Linked DNA regions of Arabidopsis thaliana. The gene in region 2 interacts genetically with the main gene of each other region. Each region holds a gene or a part of one and is shown on either strand. Other genes may lie near its edges.

The links.
Region 1: of PHB (region 2) and ZPR3, extra expression of one rescues a mutant of the other (dosage rescue), as found in Arabidopsis thaliana (one study listed by BioGRID).

Annotation. Positions count from the first base shown.
Region 1 is NC_003074.8:19,556,442-19,565,283, forward strand, and holds ZPR3 (binding protein), read right to left. Parts: upstream 2,883-8,842; 5' UTR 2,471-2,882; intron 1,667-2,470; 5' UTR 1,654-1,666; coding exon 1,450-1,653; 3' UTR 1,075-1,449; downstream 1-1,074. Other genes in the region: PAP20 (Purple acid phosphatases superfamily protein), read right to left, coding at 5,084-5,267, 5,355-5,443, 5,525-5,855, 6,021-6,264, 6,403-6,700, 7,617-7,754. UniProt on the Arabidopsis thaliana protein: Competitive inhibitor of the HD-ZIPIII transcription factors in shoot apical meristem (SAM) development. Acts by forming non-functional heterodimers. Part of a negative feedback loop. Involved in SAM development and lateral organ patterning.
Region 2 is NC_003071.7:14,636,041-14,648,054, forward strand, and holds PHB (Homeobox-leucine zipper family protein / lipid-binding START domain-containing protein), read right to left. Parts: upstream 8,316-12,014; 5' UTR 7,954-8,315; coding exon 7,721-7,953; intron 7,159-7,720; coding exon 6,999-7,158; intron 6,908-6,998; coding exon 6,792-6,907; intron 6,707-6,791; coding exon 6,616-6,706; intron 6,500-6,615; coding exon 6,404-6,499; intron 6,323-6,403; coding exon 6,125-6,322; intron 6,051-6,124; coding exon 5,895-6,050; intron 5,811-5,894; coding exon 5,736-5,810; intron 5,648-5,735; coding exon 5,541-5,647; intron 5,456-5,540; coding exon 5,266-5,455; intron 5,175-5,265; coding exon 4,986-5,174; intron 4,895-4,985; coding exon 4,814-4,894; intron 4,732-4,813; coding exon 4,591-4,731; intron 4,500-4,590; coding exon 4,186-4,499; intron 4,088-4,185; coding exon 3,973-4,087; intron 3,888-3,972; coding exon 3,738-3,887; intron 3,655-3,737; coding exon 3,508-3,654; 3' UTR 3,283-3,507; downstream 1-3,282. UniProt on the Arabidopsis thaliana protein: Probable transcription factor involved in the determination of adaxial-abaxial polarity in ovule primordium. Specifies adaxial leaf fates.

The DNA.
Region 1 (8,842 bases), on a different chromosome or scaffold from region 2:
TATGAAGAATTTGATTTGTCATTATAAAATGTTTAGGAAACAAATTATTTTAAATCCAATTTGAAAATATTCAAGTTTTTATTGAAAATGTGAAGAATTGAAAAAAAAAAAGAAAAAAAAAATGTGAAATGACTTGATGTTTAGAAAGTAGTTGTAGGAAAAATAGAAGTCAAATAAAAGAGCAGAGAACTCGTAGTTTAGTTTTTCAAACGAAAATGAATAGTTTTTTGACTAATACTATATAATAATAACTTGTAGGGGTGTGTGTGATGGCGTCACATAGAATCCGAATGAAAAGCCCCTTGTCTCATCTCTCTGGACAGAGCCGCTTGAATCTCATGTCATGACACCTTCTGCCCTCCTTTTTCTTTTATTTTCTAAATGGAAAATATATATTCCAAACGAATATTGGGAAATTATTTAGTTTTTAAAAATTTAATTAATTAGTTAACATTTTATGCTCAATTCATCCATCATAACAAAAAAAAAAAAAAAATAGATATACACATTTAGAGAGTGACTGGAGTTTATAATTCATATTCAAACCCAAGAGTGTGTGTAAATTTGACGTAGCATCAATTTTGGTCTATTTAAAGCTATAGTATTCTGATATTATCCATTCTGAGGTTTTATCCAGTATTACTGTTGTTGAAGGAAATGATTTACATGACCAATATTATCAACAACTGGTTTGAACCATAATAATTAAATTGTTCAGATGCACATGGCATAATAATTAAATCATTTCAATTTAGAATGTTAGGATAAAGCTTTCATTGAACTTGCTACAACACATGTAGACTATATATACACAAACACTACTATTAATATTGTTTTTCTTCCTCATTTCCTCTACTCTAGTCTACTTGAAAATTACATAGACCTATTTATACTTAAGAAGTGTTTGCTAATCCTGATGAATAATTAGTGTCAATTCAACGATTCAGTTTCCACTTACTGTCTTACTCGATCGGAAAATATCATGGACAAAATGGGTCACTTTTGTTTTTGTATGAGATGATATATCAATATTGAATGCGTTTTGTATATGATTATAAAAATCGAATAACTTGTCCCCATGTTATATACGATACATTAGTTGATTGATATGCACTTGACAATATTTGATAAATGGAGCAAAGGTACAAAATGTTAGTCCAAGAATCAACCATATCCTAAAGTCCCCAACCCCACACCAGAGGATCTTTAATTAACATAGAAAATAGAAACAAAAGTAAAAATATGACTGAGAAGACTAACAGAGAGACACTGTCTTCTTGTAATAAAACAGAATCTTCTTTTCATAATAACTACTACAGTGCTCGATACTACTTATCTTCCTATAATACACCAAACAAAATAAAATACTTCCAAAAGGTTGGGTCTTCTTTTAATCTTCTCCTACGTACGGATTCGAGATCTCTTGCTCTAACGTATTCTTGATTTAAATCAAGATTGTCCAGAAGCAGAGCTTGATTTGTTGTCATTGTTTGATCCATTGTTAGAGTTCTTAGTTTTGGAGAGTTTCTGTTTGAGTTGAAACAAAAGCTGTTGGTTCTCTTGATTCAGAAGCTCAGCTTTCTTCCTTAGTCTCTCGTTCTCTTTCATTATGTAACAGTTTTCAACAAACAGCTTCGAGTTTAGCCTCTCCATTTCTGCTTTCTTGCTACAAGTAAAACAAAACAAAAGTATTATTACGAATTTTGAAAAATAAATGAGAAAAAGAGAGTAATAATATCAATAAAACCAAAGCTTGTGTTATGATTATTATTGTTCATGTTAAATCATTACATCACACATGGGTTGTGCAGCTTCACACGTCGGATGTGAATTACATTAGCTATAGGAAAAATCATTTGTCGCATTTATTTCGTTTTCATGTGAATTTCTTTTTCTTCTTTTTATGAAATCAATGATCAAAGAGAGAAGAAGAACATGATTATAAATTTGTATGGAGGATAAAAAGATAAAGCTAATAAAGAGAAAGAAATTGAAGAAAAGAGATAAAAACAAGTAATCATGATGATATATATGCAGTAATTATAAATGTTTTAACCTCTATGGACAGAGAGAGTAATGATTATATTTGAAACGCTAGAAAAAAACAGAGTAAGCAACAAAACAAAGATGGTGATCGTAGCAATACAGACTATTAAAAAGAAAAATCAAACAATTTTTTTTATTTATTTCGGTTGCCTCAAAGAAAAAGATAAAGATTAAAAACTTTCCATCATTGAGGAATATTTTAAAAGATGAAAAAGTTTTAACATAGAAAAAGAGAGAAATTAAGGGTTTGTCTTCACGTTAGTTGTACGTGTGACGTTACTACATAACTATTATCTTAACGTATGAACGCAAAAGCGATAGATAACAGAGCAAGAAACAGAAACAGAGCATGTCGAGAAAACTCACGTTAAGCTTCTAGAACAGTAAGAGAGTGAGAGAGAGAGAAGGAGAATAGAGGTTATACCTTTTGGGAAGGAGTGTTGAGAAGCAGAGATAACGAAGAAAGATTGAGAGAGAGAAGAGAGACGCTAGTTTGTGTGTGTAGAGAAGGTAGAGGGACAAAGAGAACAAAGTGAGACACTGTCTGTTATATAGATCCCCAAAAGCTAAAGAGAAAGAGAAAGAACCTTCTCTCTCCTGACACAACAATCATGCATTGTGTTGTGTTTCTGCATAGATGGCGGCCGCAAGAAGAGAGAGAGAGAGAGGAGATTTGTGCATATTGCGTCATGTGAATGATGATGATTTATTAAAGAGAAAGAAGTTAGAGAGAGAGAAGAAAAAAAAAAGGAGTTTTCTTGCTTGCTCTTCTTTCGAAATTGATCTTCAGGGATATTTTCGTAATTTCCGAAAGATCCCCTAGCACTTCCTTTGGCTCTTCATCGTATTCGTCCTCTAAACAGAAGATTCGGTTAAAAGAACTAGAGTAAGGGTATTTACGTCATTACGAAGGAAGTAGTACAGAGGAGGGTAATATTGTCATTTGTGTAGGACTAATGAGAGGGGCTATAGTAGAAGAGGCCATCGACCTCTAAAGATTCGCAATGATGGTAAAGATTGGTTCGAACCATCATCCTTCATGATTCTATTTCAACCGTTTTGGACCATTTTGTAAATGCTCTCTTTCCCCATCTCATGTCCCGGTTAGCTCAATCTTGGTTTAGTTCAAATATTACACTCCACCATTATTATGTTTTAGATTATTATTTCGGATACAAATAGTTTCCTTTGTGTGTTAAACTATTTGTTACTTTTTTCTTTGTATGAAAATCATAGTATACCACAATTTGAAAATGCATTTTTTTGTCCTCTTATATTGTCTCAGCATTCAAGATTTGATATAATTATGGTGGGAGAAGAAAAAAAGAAAGAAATAATGAAGAAGAAGAGTGTTTGGACTTTGGAGCCGTAAAACCTACAAAAAATAATCATGGATCAAAAGTGTTGTAGAACGTGAAACATCATAAACAGTGAGGTGGTTGTTTTTGGATGTATTTATGACTTCTCTTTTTTTCGTAACTTCACATGCCTTTGAATAAAACTCGTTCGTTTGCCCATGACTTAACCCCCAAAAAGAAGATGACTACAATTTCACGTTTATTTAAAACTACTTTGGCTTGTGTATATAAATCTTGTACGGCTTCTTTTAACCCTTCTTTCACGGAATAAATGTGAGAAATTGTGTTTTTTGTAAATATGCTGATTGTAGAAGTTAAACAAAACTGAAACACAATTAGTATTAAGTAGGTGTGTCTTGAAATGGAACTAAAGAGTGGGTACACTTGCTTACACCAAAGGCAATGATTTTAAAGGTGTGAGCAGCTTCATTTCTTGCTGGCCTATGCAATGCCGTTTCTACCCCTCATTGCTTTGGTCTAAGTTTGACAATTCGGTTTGGTGTTGATTTTTATTTATAAAATGAAACTTTAATTTATAAATATAGTTGGTTCTAGGATTAATTTTGGTTAATCATAACCCAGTCGGACCAATTTTCACACCCCAAAAAGGTTGAAAACTTTGTCTCTTTACCATGTAAATTTCAAAAACCTAAGAATATTCAAATATTCGGTTTTGGTAACCCCTATTAATGTAGTAAATGTTTGGTATAGAATATTAGATTACCATTCAGAGAAACTATATTTCGCTTTTATTAATTAATTGGAATTTTCTAGTTATTTTCTCCTTTGTTAATCTAACCTAATCTTTTTTGAACTTTATAATATAAACACAAACGAATTAAAAAAATATACCGTAATTTAACTGATTAAAAGTCTATATAAGTTTGTGTTTATATGACGTATATTTCATTTTGCTACGTACTACTGTATGTATACATTCATGTTGTATGATGGAGCATGCCTCTTTTGCACAAGAAAAGTACTGAAATCTCTTTATTTGAAGGAGTCCACATCCACCTCGAAGGCGATGTGCGCAGTGGTTCGATTGCTATACCCGAGATTGATTTACCGGCGATTGATGTCGCATCATCTGCTGCGTCGGTGGTGGCGGAAGAGTTAGGTAAATCAAATCTCACATAAATGATTCTCTGTTCTATTCTCCATTCTTCGTTCTTCTGATTGTTTTTTTAGGTTTTTGGTGGTTAGATGTTTGCGCCAGACGATTCAGAATTCATAAGGTGTAAAGTGTGTTCATATTAGACTGCATGCAAACATTATCATTGCACATCTTAACTTTTAAATAAAGGACTACTACAGATGTTTGGATGGACTACTACAGAAGTAATTTTCATTTAAATATGGATAAATATCGACGCTCACGATTCAACAAGCAAATCTAGTTTGATATGAATTAGCAATATGCAAAAAGTGATAAGGATTTGAAAAGTTGAAAAGCAACAAAGAAAATATAACAACTTAAAATATAAATGAGATATAATTCTTAATTGACTTGGTATCAAAACATTTGTGTCCTGTTTTGATATTGTTGTCAATACTCAATACTATATATAAGTACTTTTAGTATCTACGATTCTACATCGACATTTAACATATAATCTTATAGAATCAATGATGAGGAACAAGTCCTAACCACATTCAAGAATACGAACCGAGGGGGTCTAAATCTTACAAGATGAATCGGCTAAGAGACTGGTTAACCAAACCGAATCCTTTTCAACCGACACATCATCGTCGTTCCTGTGCCATTCCCAACGTGCATGAGTCGCATTCTCGACCACCAATTGACCATGCCCGAAACTTGCTTCTCTAAACAATGATATTTCGGGATTTGGATCTCTATACCTATGATGATTATCAAAAACATTAACATTTAATTAGTTTCATTTTCAAATTTTGTTTATAAAAAATCTCATTTAACGAAGATCTTACTTGGTAGCAAGGCCTTCTAGATTCCCACCATCTCCGATGTTAATATAAACCGGACCACATTTGTCGAACTTATCTTGGTACACTCGACTCTGTCAAATAAACACACAAATTAGCTCTATATATATAAAAAAAAATCAATGCAGTTTTTTAATGAAACCCTTTAGACTTACAAAACGCTCGTAAGCATGAACGTGACCTGCAAAAACCAAATCGACACGAGCTTTGTAAAGAAGAGTTTCCATGGATTCTTTCATCTCCACACTCTCTTTCTCTCCTTGGTGAGCTTCGTTGGAGTTGTACCAAGGCGCATGCACCACAGCCACAACCCACGGTGTGGTCTTACGGTCGATTTTCTTGAGATTATTTTCTAACCATTGGTACTGCTCCGAGCCAGGCTCAAAATCTGTGTATGACCCCAACATTATAATGTGGACTCCATAAACGTTGAAAGAATAGTACAAATTCGAGCTCGAGCCACTCTCTTCAAATGGCATGCGCCACCTGTAACGTGTATACAAAAATATCTAAAATTAGCATAACAAAGTTCTTTTAATAATAAAAAGTAGACCATAATAAAACTGATAAACCCAAAATTAATACAATAAATAAGGAGCTTAAAAAGAAAAGTAGGTTTGGTTGTTGGCTAGACAAATCGAAATAACTTACCTCTTGTTATAGGCGGTGAATGGGTTACTGTGTAAGATAGGTATTTTTTCGAGCTCGTGGTTGCCATGAGTGACCATCCAAGGTCTTTGGCTCGCAAGTGGCTGCACCAAGCGACCAAAAGTGTCCCACAGTGGTTGGTACATGTTAGCGTATGACAGATCACCAGGCAAGATGAAAACATCATAATCCCATTTTGATACATGTTCCAATGTTGATTTACTCCATTCAGATGTACCAAGGTCACCTTCATTTTTATCAAAAAATATCAAGATTATCAATAAAATAACAAATAAAGCTACAAAACCATGATGACATAAATCTATACTTACATAGGACAATCTAAAGAGTTTATATGAGTGAAGAGGAAACATGGAATGTATACCGGACACGGCGAATTTGATTGGGAATTTAGAGGGAGGAGTCCTGAAACTGAACTCTTGAGTTGAACTTGGGCCTCCACATTTGTAATAGTAAACTGTGTTGGGCTTTAATGGGCCTATAACAACGTCATTAATTTGGCCCGATCGGTAAATCAACAAGTAGTGGTACGATGACGACGTTCCATTAGCCGAGCCTTCGTATTTTCCAGAGACTGTGCCATATACAACACTAGGCGAGATTGAGCTTTGCGTTATCCATGATATTCTCATTTTGTCCGGCCCAACCAGAGATATATGCACCTGAATTTAAACGTCACAAATTCATAAGTAATTTAGGAACACACATTACTATAAATAAACAAAGACAAAGCGTACAAGCAAAACTGCAAAACAGATGAGTGACGAAAGATCTAACAGAAAGAAGACAAAGTGGGTAAATTTGTAGTAATGTTTTTTTCATTAGACACGTGGTGACTCCATACGTCACATGACAGTATGACACGCACGATGCGAATCTCTGAATTATTTGCAACTTAAACTGTTATTGACTACTGTGGAAACTAAATTTTATCAAACATAGGAAAATCTTTTAATTTTAATTTTTAAGGATTCTGAAAAGTTTATCTAGAGTCTAGAGGGGATGTTTCCTTAGACAATTATCATTAACTATCTGTCTCAAATTTTGAATTTGTTGATACAATTAAAACCTTTTTTATGCATGTATAGTTTGAAAATGTCTCCATTCAACGTTTCGTAATTAATAAAAAGGCGAGTACAGTGTCGTTTCAAATAGCATGTGTATACAAAGGTTTAAATTGGAAAAAAACAAACAAAATCACCCGAAATTATGGCAATGCTTCCGTAACGTAACTTTGTACACGAGAAAGAATTAATTCAATAGATTAATCTAACAATTTTCTGCTTTATTAAATTTTTACCCTCAAAAACATTTTAATAAGAGACAACATTACTGAAGCCAATAAGCCGAGGAGGTGAAGAAGATCCAAGTTTTCTTGATATTCGTATTATTGGTGTTTCATGAGAAAACTTAAGTCGATCTTGTTTATGTTTGAAAACTAACACATATCAATACTGAAAGACAAAATCTTGAGACTTGCCGTGTCAAAATTCTACTTACAAGGATTTTACATAAATGATACAGAATCCAATATGCATAATATATAACAAAAAATATAGATTTTAATGTAAATATTACCTGATCGGGGAACGTAGGATCATCTTCGTTAGTCGGATGGATCACTAAATTTTTCCGAGTACCCTGCCGATCATAAGATAACACATTTCCGGCCAAAACAATAAGCAGTATTGCTACTAAACCCAAAACCTTCACCATTTTGGCGAAATAGAGAGAGAGAAGAGAGAAAGAGAGAGATCGGATGACAAGAATGAATTAGGGACACAGTGTTATATAGTAGTAATCCTTTCCCCTTCTTTTTGTTTTCATTTTGGAAACTTGTAAAATTGGAAAATGTATTTGACCAAAACTTAACTAATTGGTACTTTTTCCACTAATTCATTAATAAAAAATAAAAATAAAAACTGTGCAAGCAATTGCAAAGTACACGAATGTAGCATGTTCAAAACCTGCATGGAAATCATTATGTATCTTAGTATATTCGGGGGGGGGGGGGGGGGGGGCAGTATCCTACGAGACTACGATGGAAAAAAATCTTGATCTTTGTATACCAAATATAAAAGTTATATGTGTTCTTAAACAAAAGTCATGAGATATGTGCTTTGCTAGATTATCTAGTAAAACAATGCCTTGCCTTCTATAACAAATTATTTTCTTAAACATTTAGATTTCCTTTGTACTAAAATGATTCTGATAGTAATAGAATATAGATTCACAATTTATGTTCCTAATAAATTGATGCTTTAAGTTTTTATCTTGTTCCTTAAAGATTAAAGTTTTAGATTAAAAAAGCTGAAATAATATTGTTTTTACTTTTTACTTTTTACTTTATGCTTTTTGCCATATGTCGTGGTAAGTAATGGTCTATACTTTCTAGCTCTTTACACTCATAATGTAATCTTAAATTAATTAATAATTAAAAAATTTCTTAATCTGAAAATAAAATAAAAACATCAATCTATCAGGAATAGAGAGAGAGAGTACTATATAGTGATGGAAAAAAACCTATATAGTGATAGAATATATATCAAAACATGATCCATTGTTATTCAATAACTTTATTGAAATCATGTGCAAATGAAACTAATATACATCGAGACTAAGAGATTTAGGGTTTATATTCTTAGATTTTAAATAGTCCTATACAAGCAAATCATTTAGTTAATAAATATTTAAAATTACTTGAATAATGACTAACGTTTTTTTTTAAACCAGATTTTATGCTTGCAAATTAATTATCTATTAAAATCAGTTTTCTTCATTATCTAATATATAATGAATTTTAC
Region 2 (12,014 bases):
TACAGATAAACAAACTATTCAAGTCATTCATTAAAATAAAAAAAAAACAACTCAATAACATACTATTGCTTAATAATGCTCCTTCATATATAGTAATACTATTGTCAATGGATTGTGCAAGCCAAAGACATGACCTTAAAGTTTTCTTATGGTGATAGAGCCATGGAGGGAAGAGGCTATAAATTAATTAAAGTAGTTGGTGCTTCAAGTTGTGTTAATGATATAGTCCCATCATGACAAGTTGTGTTACTTATTCAACAAAAAAATATAATATTTTTAATTTTTAATTTTCTTAGGTAAGATTACCTAGTGACAAAATGTTAAATTTAACAATGTAAAGTTACTATGTAAATGCATGGGCACCAGTAATCACGTATCTTGATGAAATATATCCCTAATCCAAGCGAGTCGGCATTTATTGGTGAAGAATCTCAAGCCTCATAGTCATCGCTAGTTAACAATCTTTTTTGGACAAAATAGCCTCCGTTAAAATTCGGCATTACTAACCTTTTTGCACTTTTAAAATCAGAAAATTTCTGTTTTAAAGGTATTTTTCTTTGACGATTCAAATTTTTAGTTGTATTATATATATGAAAGGAGCTTAACTCTTTCTCACAGCTTGATACGTTAGCATCTAATAGCTTGCCACCTAGACTTCATAAAACAACCAATACATAATTTAATTAATTTATCATAAAATATTTATGATTAAAAAGTAAAGAAGATAAATATTAAAAAGTTATGTCTCTTATAATTTGAAAAATAAAAATTAAAAAGGATTGAAAAGTAAAGACGATAAATATAAAGAAACTATTAGTATCTTATAAATAAATAAATAAACTAAAAATTAAAATATATTTTTTTTTGTTTTGAATTAAGAAAATATTAAATATAAAAAAAGTTAAACATAAAGAAACTATATATATCTTGTAATTAAAAAAAAAAATAAAACAAATTATAAACTTCATCATATAATTAATGAAATTTAAAATTTTTAAAAAATTATTGCTTTTAATTTTTTGTACAATAATTAAGGAAATTTAGAAATTAATTATTAATTTTAGAAGAAAAATGTTAAAATAGTTTAATAGTTTTGATTCACTAAATACATGTGTACATATATGATGGTATGAGGATCAAGAAAGTGCCGTAAAATGTAAAACTTCCAATGTTCCTTAGTGAAAAAATGTAAATATATATTTTCCAAAAATGTTAAACTTTTCTGTTGACAAGACGTGTATATAAACATCACCTATACCGGAGAAGAAGAAGACACAAAACAAAGTTAAAAAGAAGAAATTTTTGGTGCAGTGAATTCGAAGAGCAATATGAAGAATATTGGTTACTTTATTATAGCCACCGTGGTTGTTGGTGTCCTCCTCATCTTGGCTCTAGTGGCGAGTTTCTTATGGGCCAAACGACATGTCAAATGTTGTGGCGGAGAGGGAATGTCGTCAAAAGATGTGTTCAATTTAGTTATACAATTGGTTGCTTGTATTCTGCTTTGTGGTTTATTTGCTTATTTGGTATTTTTGGTTTAGATTAGTAACCTAAAGGCATAGCAGATAGAACACATCTAATATCTTCTGCGAGACCGTATAATGCATGCATACATGCTTTAAACACCGAAATTAATTCAAGAATCAAAATGTAACTTGCTACATGAGTTGATATCAAGACTAAATTTCATGGAATTAATAAATAAAAATTACGGTAAATTATGATGTTATGGATCTAGGAGATTACACGATAACTAATTTTTTTTTATCATAACTTATGTTCCCTCAACGGAAGAATACCATTAATATATGATATATCATAATTATTATTTTTATTTAATACCATTAATATATGATATATCATAATACTATTAAAATATCATTTAAAATGGAACGGAAGAGTAGTTTAGATATTATAGTTTTCACTTCTGATTTTTGTTATTATATATTTTATAGATAAACAAACTATTCAAGTCAATAACATACTATTGCTTAATAATGCTCCTTCATATATAGTAATCTATTGTCAATGGATTGTGCAAGCCAAAGACATGACCTTAAAGTTTTCTTATGGTGATAGAGCCATGGAGGGAAGAGGCTACAAAGTTGATGTTGCCTTATGTAATATACCATCATCAGTGGTTTTTCCAAAATCCAGAAACTTGGTGGTGCCTTCAAAAGTTCTAGTGAAATGGGAAGGAAATGTATTGTTCCCGATGCATATACACGGGAAGAAACAAAATTATGAGAAGAAACAAAATTATGATTAAATGTTTAGTACAATAATATTAATTATTAAAGCAGTATCGTTTTTTCGATATCCTATGAATTATTTATTCATCTTTACTAAAGCTAAAGGAGAGGCGCGCAGCAACTTGATAAACTTATTTCCTACAATTATGGAAATGTTATTGCGACCGTTTTACCAAAATGGTCACTTCCACCGTTTTTCTAAAAACTTTTTTTAACCATTTTTTTCTGCTACAGTCTTTTACCAAAATGGTGGCTTTCTCAGTAGAATACGATAACATTTAAAATTTTCATTAAAATAGACAACTACAGAGAAAAAAACGTGTATAGGTTTCATTGACAAAAAAAAGGTTTCTCTGCCTATAAGCTAAAGAGTAGGAGGCATCATCATCATTTACTTTTCTTATGATAGATACGATTTCAGTATACGTTTTTTTTTTTTTTTTAGTGTACGATCAATTTATAAATAGGCATGATGTATTCATTTATTGTGAAGATTCATGCAAATCTAATCTTTAAGTTTGTTTGCAGTGCTATTAACGGCTTCGCACAACTAGAACCTGTATTCAAATTGGACCACCCTCCATTATACAAAACAATAATACCCAAATCTAACATAATATCTTATCAATAATACATATATTTCTATTTTATTATAATTATTGATATACATACTCCAAAATTGCACAACGTAACCAGCTAGCTCATTCATCTATCTTTCTTACTTTATAAAAATGAAACATCATTATTATTAGCCTGTTAGATGTTCCAAAACTTAATATAGTTTCTTTGTCCAATTAGATATTTACGAAATTTTAACTCATATATTTTTTTTTTTTTCTTTTTTTTTGGCTACAAACTATGAGACTTCAGTAAAGAGCTAAATTTTAGCAGCATAACTAAAACATTCAGGGAAAGAAAAAACTACACGTCAAACAAGAACCCCCTATAGTAGACAAACTAGACATAGATGGTCATATAAATAGGTAGTTGAAAATAGAAACTAGTCACCTTGTGAAAGCAAACGAGCACAAGAAAAAAAACTTGATAACATTATCATAATAATCTTGCCATATAACGTAACATAGGAACAAGAACAATCCATACAAGATCAGACATTCGTCATATTACATATTGGTCCTCGAATTTCAAAAGACTTTGGAGCATAGTGGCACCTAACTTTAATATCTTACATAAATAACCTCCCTACCAAGGGAAAAATGGAGTAAAATCTGGTCTTCTTATTTCTTATTATTCTTCAAACGAACGACCAATTCACGAACATGAAAGCTAAGCAGTGGTTTGATTCATCGTCTTCAAGAACTTTCCACACCGTTGCCTGCTCGTAAGATACCATCCTTCCCATGCTTGACGCACATACTCCTGCCGGCAGATGAGCATAGCCCTGTAAAACAAAATTTAGATTCCAAGTCAAACAATGATTTTTCCAAGAAAATGTCAAAATGTTTCCCAAGAAAAAACAAAAACCTGTTGCATGATCTTGGGGAACTCAGAGCAAAGAGCTTTACGACCAGGTTCGTCAAGGGTCTTGTCTAGCATTATGTCTTGAAGGGCTACAAGAGTCGTTTCCAGCATGTCTAAACCGGTTTGGTTTGCGAATGTGAAAACCGGTGAAGCCTACAGATGAGAATTTATGTCAGTCATCTCAAGAACATGTTCTAGTCACAAATACAAAATCTGAATGGGAAGCCTTGTTACTTACGTTTGTTTTGAGGGAGCAGCACAAGATTGCATCAGAGTGATTCCAGAGTTGATGCAGCAACGTGTCACCACTGGTTTGAGAATCAGATCCAAAGAGATCTGCACCAGTGTGAAGGCTACAAAGCCAAAAAGAAAAGAAGAGAAATTCAGATAAAATACTCCATAGATCATGTAAACAAAAGCAGAAACCTAGAGGCTAATGATAATGAAGTACCTGTAACTCCGGGAGATCCAACGGACCAGAGTGAGAGCTTCAGGGGAAGTGGGAACAGATATTGGACTGATATTGGAGCCAGGACGAGGAGCAATGGCTAGAGCAACCCTCTGAATCGATCCTACTATGCTTCGCACGTACTGACGTGCCATTGAAGCAACACTGTCTCTTGAATGGTTATCAAATGTGAACTGGAATGCTATGGTTAGTACCGACCTAAAGTTACAGCCATTTGGGTCGGCTTCACCAGCTTGACGTGTGGATCCTTCTAAAGCTGAGGCTAAATCCAGGGTACGGTTTGCAGATGCACCGTTCTATATGACAGTGAAGGATTAGAAATTTAGAATATTGCGTCAAGAATAAATGATTTGGGACTGATCCTTAAATGGCTTTTTGACATGTTACCGGAGTAGATTTCTGTTCAAGAGGTATGATGCGGAAACCGGAAGGAAGCAAAGGTGCATCATCAGCAAATGATTCATCGATAGGGGCAAATACAAGCTGTGCACAACCTCCAACCACATTTTCATCAACACCGCTACAAAGCTAGACAAGAATCAAGAATCCAAAATGTCATGAAGAGAACAAAGGAGCATAGAAACTTTGGAGTTAAAGTATGAAGTCAAACCTGTAGCAAATACATATCCCGAGCTAAACCCATGTCTTCGGGTGAGTAAGCGTGACCTTCAAGTCTAACCACCTCAAGTGACTGAAACAAGTAACCAAGAAAGGTTTCAGGACTATAACACGTATTTAGAGAGAGGAGAAAGTGAAGCTGTGTTATTCTTTGATAAAAGTACCTCTTCATGTTCAACTGTCTGCGCAAGAGGAAGAATGACTTGGTTACTTGGGAACCCCCCAGCTCTAGCACAAGGAACAGCAAAAGGACTTGCTCTGAGCGATGCAGCAGCATAAGCATCCACGCCATAATCAGCCCATTCAGATCGGTGTTCTCTAAGGAATCGAACCAGCACAGCGGGTGGAACGTTCTTCAAACAAAAAAAAAAAGATGCAAGTTAGTTAGAAACAGACAGAAACAGAATATTAGTTTTTTTATTATCAAATCCTTAAGACATGTACCTGAAGCAACATAGATGCCTTGGCACAAAGCACGCCACTACCAAAGCTTGGAAGGAATGAATTACCGTACTGAGACCCACCAAACTTCCCAGGGGACAAGTTTATCATTACAGTAACATCCTCTGCACCATCGCTACCCATTGGTGACCATCCATCATCCACAAAACCATTAACAGCATCATTGAAACCCCTGAAAGTTCATCCATATTGAACAATTAGAATAAGAATAAAAGAAATTCTTGGTGATAAAGCTATTAAGTAAAGTAGATACTTACCGACAGAGTCTTTGACTGAAGGTTCTTAAAACCGCAGGTTGGCGCCCTCCACCATACTGAACTTCTCCACTTGTTTCTTGTGCAATTTGTCTTACATGTCTCAAAGCCTGAAATAAGACTCCGAACTTAAGAAACATTGCAGCATACCAAGTCGTTCAGGTCATATACAGTTTGGATAAAGGTATTTGAACTTACAGCAACAGTCATTTTCTGAGCAAGAATCTTCGATGATTCATAGAGAGGCCTCATGACTTCAGGGACACTCCAGGCCTTGCAAAACCGAAAAAACAAAGTCATGATCATATTATAAAGAGAGAACTGAAGTGTTATGAACCGATTCGAGTTGTCACTTACATCCAGATCAACATGATCAACAATGTGGAGAATGGAACCACCACCATCGCAAGGACGGATGAGAAACCCGCTTGGTTTCATTTCAGCTCTCACAAAGTTTGAAGAAGGTGGCCCAGTGGGGCCACCAGTTGCAGAAGTAAGCGACCTTTCACAAACCTGAAGACAGTGAGTGAAGACAAAAGTATTAAAACAGAAACTACATAACAGAAAAAGCAGATTCAAGAACTCACCACATAGCTTCCATCTTCCAAACATGTGCTATATCTCAGCGTCCAAAAGTCACGAGCTGCTGCTAAAGTCGTAGGAGCATACATCTGCGTGTAAATAAGCTCGATCGTCCCACCGTTTCCAGCAGGTATCACACTCAGAGTATCCACACTTCGACAATCTCGGAGCCAAGATGGACGATCTTTGAGAATTTCAGCAACCTATATTTGTTTTCAAATCAAGACTAGCGTAAGCTAATGATTATAAACACAAGCCAGAACGTAACAAATCGCACTCTTTACCTTCATGGGTTCTAAACTCACGAGGCCGCAGGCACGTGCTGCAATTCCGCTGCAGTTGCGCGAAATAGCGACTATGCCAATAGAATCCGGACCAGGCTACACCAGCAATGAAGGTTCATCAAATAATCATAAACAACTTCATCTTCAGACACAACTAAAGAATAGAAATCAGATTATACAACTTTAAGAGTATTCAGGCCAGAAAGTATTACCTTCATCCCAATCATCTGAACCCAGTCAACAGCAGTTCCTGTAGCCTTGGAAAGGAACTCTGCTAGGGCCTCCTCTGCTATAGAAAGGAGTCTAAACAAAAAAGAACCATTTAGGTTGTCACAGAGTGGGAAACAGAATTCATTAGAGAGTTATAGAGCAGACAAGAAAAGCTCACCCTGCTGGGTTGTTAGCATCACGTTGCTGATGCTGAGGATTTGGGTTTTGCTGTTGATGTTGCTGACCACTCACGACCACAGACTCACAGCTGTTGTCTGTGGTCGTCCCAGAAGCCTACATTCCAAAAAAAAGATAACAACTTTCAAACAAAATGCTTCATAGAATTGAGTTTTAGAGACAGAAAATAGTGAAAAGTGAACTTTACAGTGTGAAGTTGATGTTTCATGTGGCCATTCTCATAGACCAAGTTAGAAACTTGCTTCTGCAAACGATCATTCTCTTCCATCAAGAGTTTGTTCATGGCATTGAGTTTTCTGTTCACTGTTTGAAGACGAGCAGCTTCTTTCCTCTGCTTCTCACGACATCTAAAAATCAAAAGGAAGCTTCGTTAGACCAACTAAGCCAACATAAAAGCCAAATGTGCATGGATGATGGGAAGAAATGTTAGTGGATGAACAGAGACAGACACCATTTGTCTTTATAAAACACATCCAATGATATAAAGAAGAAAAGATAATGTAAATTTTTCCCCTTTATCATATCATAATTTCTGGCAGAAAATCTTAAGCTTTTGACAGAAATAAATGTTGGAAACGCATTCAAAGACAATTTGATTAAATGTCACTTTCGTGAATTTAGATATTCAACCAACTAGATACGTCAAAGCATATGGTAAACAAAGTTTCTTGCTTTAAAGAGATTTAGAAGACGATTAAAACTCATAACAAAATGATCACTGAGATCCAAAAAATTCTTGTCAGATAAGAACAGCAAGGAAACTTAAATACAACTGACCAGTCAAAGAAAGAAAAACATTTAACATCTTCATAAACTCATATACAAACAAAAAGATAATCTAATGGTAAGAAAACAATTAATACAGACAAAAGGTAACAACTTTGATAAGGAAAGAAGATGAAATTTCACCTGCGGTTCTGAAACCAAACTTTGATCTGCTTAGGCTCGATGTTAGAGAGAATCGGACATTCACGTATGAGTTGTTGTCTTCTTAGAGAACTTGGCTTAGGACACTCAGTGTAAACTCTCTCGAGAGCTTCCACTTGCTCCGGCGTGTACCTCACATACTTGCCGGAATCTAACCCTTTATCCGGCGACTCTCTGTTCATCATATCTCTGCTCATCGAATGGACCATCATCATAGCTCAAAGTCAGAAATAGGAAAAAAGGACGATTCTTTTGAATGGGTAAAGCTTGAAAATTGGAGAAATCCCTAGGTTATTTTCAAGGGTAGGCTCTCTCTACTCAGAGAGCCTCCACTCACGTTCATGAGATAATGGTGAGAAAAAAAAGGAGTTTTGGAGAAAGAACAAATAAACAAAAAAAAAAGTTTCTATTTTTATTTTTTTCGGTTTATTTGTTATTTCTTTAGCTCAAGACAGAAAACGCCAGAGGGCAATGGCGAGAGAGGAGAGGAAGGAGAAGCGAAGAGATAAGAGGAGCAAGATAAAGGAAGCAAAGTAGAGGTCTTTATCTCAGACGCCAATCTCGAGATCCTTTTAAGACATGGTCCAAAAAAAATAAAACATAACTCTAAAAGAAATTACTTTTCTTTTGTGTGGCGCGAGAAAGACTTGCAAGAACATAAAAACAGCATAAAGGTAAAAAAAAAATGAAAACTGAAACGCCAGGTGGGTTGAATTTGATAAAAGCTTTTTACTTTTACGGTTTTATTTACATAGCTAAAATAAATTAATATCTACTGCAAAATCTCATAATAATTTATACTTTGTGTCCATATTTGTACTCAATGTGTTCACTAAAAACATTTACTTTAGTAAAAAGAAAATGATTTGTCCAAAAAAAAAAAAAAAAAAATGTAAAAAGAAAATGCAATTGAGTTTTATGTGTACTAATTACTACATAAGTTTCTTCTGGTTATAACTTGTGATGCAAAAATAAAATAAAATTATTCTAGTATTTGTAGCAATAAAAAATTAGCTAAGAAATAATTAAAATAAGGTGCAGGATAAAAAAGGGGAAAGACAATAAAGGAGAAAAGCCAACACACGCAAAACAGTCTCTGCAAAACCCATCTGTTTTTTTTACTCTACCCACAACAGTAATGATAAAAATACATATAAAATAACTAACTTAATATGGAGGCAGAGAAGACAGGCCAATCTTTGTTTTTTTCTTTACCTTTTCTTTTTAATATTGTTATGTTTTATTCGAAGAAATTGTTGTCAGAAGAAACGGATATTTGACGAAATGGGTATTTTGCTAACTTAGGGAAAAAAAAATGCTGTTGTCTTTAGCTCTGTGAGAAGGACATCACATAAGTTTCTTTCTCTTTCCTTCTTTCTGATGTTCATCATATGCTGATGCTGATGTATGTTGCATGTACAATATATCATCATGTGTATATCTACGTACATCTTTGTATGCATTAGGTTTATGATAATGATGATGATAAATGTTGCATGCATGAGGAAAATGGTGTGGGAATGTCACTCACCGAGCGCGTGAGAAGCGTGAAAGGGACTTTATTTTTTTGAAATATAAAGTTATTAGTCCTGTCAAAAAATGCCTCAAATTAGGACTTTTTGTGTGTTTAAACTTTCTTTTATGAAATTTGGCTTCGCTTTGTTAGTTTCAAAGCTTTTTTGTTTATTAGAGTTTTGGTTTTTTCTGGTCAGATTATGAATATATTCGATTCAAATTTGAGTCAAGAAATAAATAGAAAGAGAAGACAGACAAGTTTGGCATTGGTAAGTACAGTCTGTTTTAGGTTCTGTAAGAGTTGTACAAAATCAATGCTCGGACAAACGACTAACTTCTTATAACTACGGTCTACGTGTCTATACGCTAGGACAAAAAATAAATACGTAATATTTTTTTTTTTTTATATATACGTAATATTTTTTTTTTTTTTTTATATACGTAATTTAATACTAATACTGTACATAGAGAGAGAGAGGAGTAGGAGGAATAAATGAAGGTGGTCATGTGAAGTCTCATCATGAGTCCAACTTTGTGCATGCGCTTCGATTTTCTACATGGCAGATACCACCACACGTAGCTCCCTATATCCTTTTCTTCGACACCCAATTAACCATTTTTATTTCAATAAAAGGCTACAACTACTAAATACTTTTCTCCATCGAATACACGCAAAATAAATGCTTTTCAAGTTGTATTCTTTTCATAAAACACCACTTAACATTATTTAACTACACAATATTACGAGGTTTCTTCTCGCGCCACTCAAAACATTTTTCTTTTGAGTTTTGAGTTTTGTTTTCCTCATCACGAGGGATTATTAACTCCTGCATGTTCACCATTTATATACCGTGTTTGAAGTTTGAACTATGGTAAATGGATTTTTTTTTGGTTTTCATTGTTGTGAAGGTTTAGTCGCATCCTTCATTTGTTAATATCATCGCATAATCAAAGCAAATGAAAAAAGAAGTTGTAGAAAAAAGTTTTCAAAATTATCTGACAAGTAAAAGATTGTGAAAGTAGGTTTTCATTCATTTTTTTTATCGTGTTACCAATTTACCAATCAAAATCTATATGACTTATATGGATTAACTCTTTTGTAATAGAATTCCAAATGGTACTTGTTATTATGACATTTCAAATGTTGTTTTCAAGAAAATATTTGGACTTACGACTGAATATTTATGGTGGAGATATATGCTCTCAAGTCTCAACCCATGTTTAATCTACCACTAATGCATTGATAAACATTAAACACACAGCATTTACTCATTCAAATATAAAGCCTAGGTACTAAATTGTTTAGCAATTTGCATTTTGACTGTTCACCCATAACACATTATACATTATGCAATGATTTTTTTAAAACGCTTTGGATGCTTTTATGATAAGGAAAAAAAAACTACAAATAGAGTGAATAGTTTGGTTGCTGGAGAAAAAAGAATGTCAAACCTTTAAATTTGACAATATCAATCTTTACAAAATAATAATTGGCTTTATCAATTATATATTCCATTTTTATTTGTGTGCCAACTTTTTATTTTAGCAAGAGGCATGGAGCAAGAGAGTACCCCACTGGGCCAAGTCCACTTACTCTTGTTCCCATGTCACACACTACATTGTACATTGCTTGATTTCCCAAAATTTACAATGCTTTTTTCTTTTTCTTTCTTCTTGTTGGTGTCATTTTCCGCCATTGGTATACTTCTTTTTGGAGCTCCACATAATATATGTGATATAGATATAAATTTGCGTATAGATCCACGCTTTTATCTCGTTTCATATGTGAATCAGGAATTTTAATTTAAAGTTTCATTTCTCAAGTATTTGCCTATTTGGACGTCCTAACCATACCACCATTTAAAAACCTAATTTCCTGACACCTAGGTTTGAACACTAATTAAGATAAGCGATGCACAATGAGTGCAGTCTAAAGTCTCATTTGGATTCAACTAATCAATTGTTATTATGATCAATTCATTGGACTGAAACTTATTTCACAGCCCTTATGGACTGGCCAAACTTTACATATATTGTGAACAGATAACATTGAGTGGAATTATATATATGAAAGTCAAGGTGATCGTACCATTATGAAGTTCAATCACTCTACATAGTATTACCAACACAATCTCATGAATCTTACATAAGTTGCAAAGTATACAATGGTTGGTTAGAGTTAGATCGAAATCAGAGATCAGTTTTCGTTGAACATGTCTACTCTATAATTATTAAAAATTTACATGGATTAAGACTAGAGTCTACAAACGTTTTCAGTTGAAATTCTTATTATGTAGTCTAGAAAACTAATCCTAATACCAAAAGAAAGCATCCATGATAATACCTAATCAAACTTTATTATAATTACTTAGGATTTGCTTTTTCTCCGTATATATAAATACAAAAACAAAACATGAGTTTACTCCATAAATGGGAAATCGATGCAGCAATGATATTGAGATCACATACTCAATGGAAGGGAAAAGCACAAGTGTCTTTTTATTCCACTCTTTGGAATGAAATGAAAGTGAAAAAAAAAAAAAAAAAGTCAAATAGAAAAGCCCTATTTTTGTCACAATTGTGTTCTTCTTCCTTTGCTTCAATCTCACATCTCTTTCTCGCTATCTCTTGTTTCTATTGTGTTAAAAAGAGAGAGAGCAACAGAGGTGGAGGAAGGGACCCATGCATGGGAATGATAGAGGTGTAAAGTCAGGCATGGATAAAAACGAAGGCTCCAAGTTTGATAGGCTGCTCATGCATA